2 linked regions of the Canis lupus familiaris genome follow. The protein of the gene in region 2 binds, or shares a complex with, the protein of the main gene of each other region. Links are inferred from orthologs where the notes say so. Each region holds a gene or a part of one and is shown on either strand. Other genes may lie near its edges.

Region 1 (3,826 bases), on a different chromosome or scaffold from region 2:
ATGATTAATTTTATCAATTGGCTTACCTTTTTTACTGTATTGAATCTGCAGCTAGGATTTGACTTAAATTTGATCCTCCAACTCTTTGAGCCCAAATTCTGGTCATTAGTGTCAACAACATAATATGTTAAATGTACACATTGGGCTGGATAGTTCCAGCTCAGGCTAGAAGCTGAACCGGCTTCACTTAGACCTCCAGTGAGGCCAGTCAGTGCAAATTCAGCTACTGACAGTAGTTTTCAAAGAGGGAACTGTTCATCTGATGCTATTTATAAATAGGCAGTGTGGCATGTGGTTGGGATACAGTGGGCCTGGGTTTGAGCTTTAGTTTGAGTCTTGGGCAAGAAACTGGAGTCGGAAATCTGTTTCAGTCTAGTCATCATCATTGTCCCCATCCCGTCCCCCCTGTGACGGAAGAAAGTGTTTCATTTTTCTAAGCCTCATTTTCAAGATAATATTTGAAGCTTCTTTCAGCTATAGAATTGTCTGTGTAACCTTTTCCCTATGGAAAAAGATTTCAGTAAAATCTAGGAATTTACCCAAAGGTCCATTAATAAAATCTAGGAATTTACCCAAAGGTCCATTAATACATTAATACATGCTGTTTTGCGATAGATTATGGTACCAGTCATATGAAATTATATCCCCTTATACAAATACCTTAAGTATCTACATTATACAATTGATCGTTAAATCATCTTACCTACTTTTTTTTATTACTATGTTTTATCTGGCATATGGTAGTAAGAACAGAAATGTCAATTTCTGCTGTTACTTTCTTGACTTTGGTATTGGGGTTTCTGATGGGAAAAGTTTGGAATAAGGAGGTAAGGAGATTTCTGTAGTTTGTCACTACTCAAATATGTGTCATTGGTTCCTAGAGTCATTTACAAAGTAATAAAATTATTGGTGATAGGATATTGACTGGTGAGATGAAAACACTTTAAATGCCATACTTTTAATAGAAAAAGTAATTAATGGTTGTGGTATCTAATACAAAAGGTTCAAAAGATAATAAATATAGTAAAAAGTAAATAACATATTTTCACTCAATCCCATTTCTTAAAGGCAGCTGTTACCAGTTTCTGTGAATCTTTTCTAGAACTGTTCTTCGTATTTGTATAAGCATATTCATCCCTTTCTTTGCATAAGAGAATATAATATAGATTATATTGTTCTTTTAGCTTTCTCTTTTTTTTATGACTGCATATTATTTCATTGTATGATGAACCATGATTTATGGAACATTTAGCTTGTTGCCACCTTTTTGCAATTACAAGGGTGGAGTACTCATTCTTAACATTGTATATATTTTTGTGTACATACGAGAGTAGATCTGTAGGATAAATTTCGCATAGTGGAATTGTTAGTCCCGAAGGTAAGAGCATTTCAATTTTTGATATTAGTGGACAGATTTAAAAAAAATGCTTAATACAGCTGTAATGGAAATACAGATATAAAAAAAAAAAAGGAAATACAGATATAATTTGAACTTGCAAATCAAATATTTTAGCTATGGTGGTATAAAATAGGACCCCTAAGAAATTGTATTATGATTTAATGTTTTTCCAGATATTGATTAAAGAATTATTTCTGTTTTAAGTAAATGAACTTCTTATTTATGGAGCACTGAAGATGGAAATTTGCAGTGAGAAACTAATTTTGTCAGCACAAATGCTATATATTCTTATTTTCATGACATCAAAAAGTAAAGCATAACTTTAATACTTTATTGGGGAAGTATTTTTATGTTTTCTAAACAGTGGGAATAAATATTTTTAACTTTGTATAGGGCACAGACCATCATGAAGGCTCGATTAAAAGGAGCGCAAACGGGTCGAAACCTCCTGAAGAAAAAATCTGATGCCTTAACTCTTCGATTTCGACAGATCCTAAAGAAGATAATAGAGGTAGAATAAACTGTGTTTACAACAGTTGCTTATTTTAAAGATACCTAAGGAAAATCCAGCATGGCTTTTGGCATTTTAATTTTTCTTTAAGTTATTTTAATTAAAATTTTTTCCTCCAAAAGTAAAAATACTATTATGACTAACAAGCTTCAGATCATTTAATAAAATATGGACTCATTACCCTTGCCTGCAAAGCCCTACTTGATCCGATCTGGCCCCTGCCTGCCACTCTGATCTCATTTGGAGCGTTCTCCCTACCATTTTCTTTCCGAACCTTTTCATTAGTTATTTCTCCTGCCTGAAATGTTCTTTTCCAGGACTTCTTTTGACTTGCTCCTCTTGTCATTCTGGTCTCTTCAGAGAGGCCATTCCTGATCGCCCAACCTGAAGTGACCACTGTATTTACTTCTGTCACATATCTTTCTTTTTTTTTTGTCTTCTTTCTTTCTTTCTTTCTTTCTTTCTTTCTTTCTTTCTTTCTTTCTTTCTTTCTTCCTTCCTTCCTTCCTTCCTTCCTTCCTTCCTTCCTTCCTTCCTTCCTTCCTTCCTTCCTTCTTTTTCTTTTTCTTTTGATTTATTTATTTGTGAATGAGCGAGAAAGAGCAGGAGCATGCGCGGGGGTGGGGGTGGGGTCAGAGGCAGAGAGAGTCTTAAGCAGATTGCACTCAGCCCAGAGCTGGATGCAGGGTTCAGTCTCATGACCCTAGGTGAAACCAGTAGTCCAGTAGTCAGACACTTAACCAGTTGTGCCACCCAGGCTTCCCACATTTCCTTAGTTTTGTCATAGCACATACTACTGCATGTTTTCTTGTTTGATTGGTTGCCTCCACTAGAGAGTGTTAGTTCCATGAGAGCAGGGACTTAATCCTTTCAGCACTTAGTTCCTGTTCCCAGAACAGTGTTGGCACATAGTATGTTTCAACTCAGTACTTTTTTTTTTTTTTTAAGATTTTTTATTTATTTATTCATGAGAGACACAGAGAGAGAGAGAGAGAGAGGCAGAGACACAGGCAGAAGCAGGCTCCATGCAAGGAGCCTCATGTGGGACTCAATCCCGGGTCTCCAGGATCACACCCTGGGCTGCAGGTGGCACCAAACCGCTGCGCCACCGGGCTGCCCTCAACTCAGTACTTTTTAAGTAAATGATAGGTGAATACAGAAATACATTTAAAAAGTGAAGATCCCTTCTCACCCCCTACCCTTCTCTCATTTCCTAGAGATGTTCTCTGGAACACTTACAGTCTTTTTTTCATCATGGATGTTTTCAGTAACACACAGCTGTTATACATTATATAGTTCAGTTCTGCCTCTTCCCCCTGGCAGAGTATGGGTAGCTTTCTGCATCAGTACGTAGATCTGCCTCTTTCTTTATGATAGCTGCATGGAACACCATTGAATGGATAATGGGATTTAACCATTTTTCTGTTGATGGATGTTTGGTTTTACTATTTAGTGGGTGAGGGTACTTTTAATCTTCATGTATAGGTGAGTACTGACGACACGGACTCCATCTTTGGCCCTCCATCTTGTTCATGGCTGCGCTGTGACCTTCCTCAGGGCTCTGTGTTATAGGCTCCATGGAGGTTTAATGTGTGCCCTGACCAGAATGTAGGGAGGCATTGTTCTGATCCTCTCTAGAGTGGTGCGCAAGTAACTCAGGTGGGTGGCTGGCTCGCAGGAGGCCCCACTTGAGGTAACTAGGGGGGGTGGCTGGCCTGCAGGAGGTGCCACTGGAGGTAACTGATCAGAGTGGCTGGCCTGCAGGAGGCACCACTTGAGGTAGCTTTACTGTGACAGTCACACTATGCCCCTCCCTCTATAAAAGCAGGGGATTATGGGCCAGGTTTGGTGGAAGAGTAGTCTCTTGGGTGATTAGCTGGTCCAGTGCCTCCTGTGGGTAGGTTATCCTGAGTAAA
Region 2 (3,826 bases):
AATATATGTTTATGTAGTTTGCCCTTAAATAATTTTTTTCAGAGCATTTCTCAACAATATCATTCTTGGCTCTTTGCATATATAAATCCTTCTGAACACTTATTTTAGATATCTCATAACTAGTTATATGTGGGTAAGAAGTTTTATGATGTGAGAATAATAGAAAGCAGTTAAAAACTTTGTTTATCCTGCCAAAACTTGCAGTACTGCATTTTAAATGATAAATCTCATTCTAGTATTCATTTTAATCTAACTGTAAAATATGATTTATAGTTTTCCATAGGTAAAATCTGCTCATTGATTTATAATCCTTAGGCCATGGATATTTTTCCTTATGTCTTTTTATAAACCTCATTCTATAGTCTTTTTTTGTTCTATTCACAGTAGTGGTGATGACCCTTTTTCAGTGTTTATGCAAATAAAGTCAGTCAGTCACAGTGTTTATTTTCTCCCTAAGAAGCTTCTACTGAAGCTTAGAACTTGGTGTTTGAGCTTGAACTTATTGGCAAAAATGCATCTCACTGTTTTCAATCTTTTTTGCCATTTGAGAAACAATTTTCCCCTTGATTGAAGCATCTTTAGGAAACACAGGCTACACTCAAGAATTTTTAGGGAAAAGACAAAGAATACCATCAAAAGAGTTTAGGTAAAAATGTTTCTTTGAAACTTGTAGTAAACTCCTAGAACTTATTATTCTTAAGTATTTAATATAAAATGATAGAGAAGTGGCATATTTTTAAGCTTCTGAAATATGGTTTTTAAAAAGATTTTATTTGGGATGAGCACTGGGTGTTACACTATATGTTGGCAAATCGAACTCCAATAAAAAAATACAAAAAAATAAAATAAAAAATAAAAGATTTTATTTATTTATTTAACAGAGAAAACACATAAGTAGGCAGAGCAGCAGGCAGAGGGAGAGGGAGGAAGTAGGCCCTCCACTGAGCAGAGAGCCGGATGCAGGAGTCAGTCCCAGGATCCTGGGATCATGACCTGAGCTAAAGGCAGACATTTAACCGACTGAGCCACCAAGGCAGCCCTGTGAAATATGATTTAAAATTTTAGAGACATCTGGGAGGCTCAGTCATGAGCGTTGAACTCTTGATTTGGGCTCAGGTCATGATCTCAGGGTTGTGAGATTGAGCCCTGAGTCAGTCTCCCTGTGGTGGGGAGCCTGCTTGAGATTCTCTCTCCCTCTCCCTCTGGCCCATCCCCCCTCTTAAAAAATAGTAAAATAAAATTTTAGTCATCTCTGACATTTCTGTGCATCTTAATTATTCTTATATGGTAGGTGTAGAGGTAAATATTTATGAAATTAACAAATCTTCATTGTCCTAACGCGTTAATTGAATATTAATACTTTAATGGTTTCTACTTGAATATTTTTAATATTCAGCCTTCTGATACATTTATTAGAACTATGTATTAGGTAATAGAGTTATTCCTACACATATCTGAAAATGTACAACTTTCCCTGCCTACCAGAAAAATAACTTTTACTTACTAGACAACATGATCTAAAATATAAAATAGTAAGTAAAAATTCTGGTTCAGAATTTATAAGAAATAAGAATTCTTAATCAGGACTTCACCCAGTGGTGATGACTGATTATAAACATCCTTATGAAAGGCTAAAAGGTCTATGAAAAAAAAATTTTAAGGTTTTATTTTTTAGGTAATCTCTACACCCAACTTGGGGCTTGATCTCACAACCCTGAGATCAGGAGTTGCATGCTCTACTGATTGAGCTAGACAAGGTGCCTCTGAAAAAAACTTTTGTAGATGCATATGTGAGTTTTTCTAGGTAGAGCTGTCATTAGTTTATCAAAGGGGTTCTTGTCCCAGAAGAGCTTTAAGAACCACCAATATGAAGTGTTAGAAGTCAAAGTAAAGATGTAATTTTAAATATTATTTCTCAAAGGAATGGTAACAACACAGCAAACTGATTCTGCCATGCTACTAGCTAAAGCTCTTGTTCCAATTTTAGTTTAAAAATGTTTTATGTTGTTCCTAAATCCCATCATTCCATGTAGTATAGCAACTTGAGTTGATCAAAATGTGCCTCAATGCTGCTAGGTAAGAATTTACTGTATAGAACTTAAGACTTTTTGAAAATAATTTTCATGTGTGTTATGTAAATGAATAAACTTTAGCCTAACAAATTTATTTTGTTTACCTCTGTATCAGATGCTAAAATTTATATTCTTATAAAACGATATATGTTTCATACATTTTTTCTTAAGAATATATGAGAAAGATGTATTATTGGATTAATTGGATATCTTAATTATCTCTATTCACGGAGTCTTAAGTTACTAAAAACTCATTTGTTCTTTTCAGTGGTTACAGCCTGTGACATGGCCGGTGCAGCCATGTATGAGCTGGTGAGAGTGGGCCACAGTGAGTTGGTTGGAGAGATTATCCGATTGGAGGGTGACATGGCAACTATCCAAGTGTATGAAGAAACTTGTATCCTTTTTGGTTCAATTTTTTGCCACTTTCTGCAAGTCAGAATTTAAGGATTTATGGCAAAGGTGGAAACAGCAACAACCAATAGTATCAAAAGCATGAAATGGTGTCATAAAGAAACCTGATTTATATAAGAATTTATTAAGGAAAGGTACTAGGAACTTATGATCATTTTTTAAGAAATTAGTATTATCTTCTGAACTCGTATTGCTCTTAATATTTTGGTAGTTCCCAAACTTTAGGGGAAACCAATTACAATTTTCTTGAGAGTGAACACATATTGTAAAGCATAAACAGAATGACGACATCGGTTTGAAGGGTTAAAATTCTCTGATCATGATTTCCATTTTAAATAGAAAATTCATAAATAAATGAGTCACTACTCTATCCTAATAAAATAATGTTGTATGTATGGCATGGTACATTATAGCTTTAGCACTAGGGAATCTTTACTACTTGTTTATCATACTTTTGTTTTAAGCATAGTATTTATTTTAAGTTTTCAATGAAAAAGAGATAATGTATTAGATTTTATGAAGAGGAACCACTTTTTTTTAACTTCACTTTTGTGTTTTACTTAAGTTATTCTCAAGATCAGCATTAAGTCTTATTTTTTTAAAATTTTTATTGAAGTATTGTTGACATACAATATTATGTTAGTTTCAGGTATATAACATAGGGATTTGACAATTATATACTTTATGAAATGCTTACCATAAGTGTAGTTATCCTCTGTTATCAAAGTTATTACAGTATTAATGACTATATTCCCCATGCTGTACCTTTTTATCCCCATGACTAATTTATTTTATAACTGAAAGTTTGTACCTCTTAATCTCCTTCACCTGTTTTGCCCATCTACCCAACCTTCTCCCCTCTGGTAACCACTAGATTGTTCTTTATATTTAATGAATTTGTTTCCTTGTTTGTCTGTTCATTTGTTTTCCAGATTACACACATAAGTGAAATTACATGGTATTTGTTTTTCTCGATCTGACTTAATATGGACCTTCTAGGTCCACCCATGTTGTCACAAATGGCAAGATTTCATCCTTTTTTTTAATGGCTGGGTCATACTCTATTGTGTAATATAACATGTATATATTGAAAACACAGTATATTCTATCTGTATACACATAACGGCCAGAATATTCTTTACGCACATGCACATGCCACATTGTCTTTATCCATTAATGTATCAGTGGACACTTAGGTTACTTACATATCTTGGCTATTGTAAATAATGCTGCTATAAATATACGGGCAGCATTAGTTATTTGGCTCATTAATTAAGATTTACTTTATACAACTTTTTTGCCATATTAAAATCCATTTTTTTCAGGTAACTTCTCTGTGT

The links.
Region 1: the proteins of ATP6V1A (region 2) and ATP6V1D are in contact, whole or in part, in a cryo-EM structure (PDB 9B8P), measured with the Rattus norvegicus proteins. The link is inferred for Canis lupus familiaris from reciprocal best matches to the Homo sapiens genes ATP6V1A and ATP6V1D. Residues at the interface, in NP_001101788.1 of Rattus norvegicus: Ala366, Met368, Pro369, Ala370, Asp371, Ser372, Asp416, Ser418, Asp436, Lys438, Glu491, Gln494, Leu495, Val496; in NP_955418.1 of Rattus norvegicus: Lys4, Asp5, Arg6, Arg167, Ala171, Val175, Ile176, Arg179, Tyr186, Glu190, Arg194, Glu197, Tyr200, Arg201, Lys204, Ile205, Lys208.

What each region holds. Positions count from the first base shown.
Region 1 is NC_049229.1:41,626,248-41,630,073, reverse strand, and holds part of ATP6V1D (V-type proton ATPase subunit D), read left to right. Parts: intron 1-1,792; coding exon 1,793-1,910; intron 1,911-3,826. UniProt on the Homo sapiens protein: Subunit of the V1 complex of vacuolar(H+)-ATPase (V-ATPase), a multisubunit enzyme composed of a peripheral complex (V1) that hydrolyzes ATP and a membrane integral complex (V0) that translocates protons.
Region 2 is NC_049254.1:18,715,452-18,719,277, forward strand, and holds part of ATP6V1A (V-type proton ATPase catalytic subunit A), read left to right. Parts: intron 1-2,340; coding exon 2,341-2,469; intron 2,470-3,826. UniProt on the Homo sapiens protein: Catalytic subunit of the V1 complex of vacuolar(H+)-ATPase (V-ATPase), a multisubunit enzyme composed of a peripheral complex (V1) that hydrolyzes ATP and a membrane integral complex (V0) that translocates protons.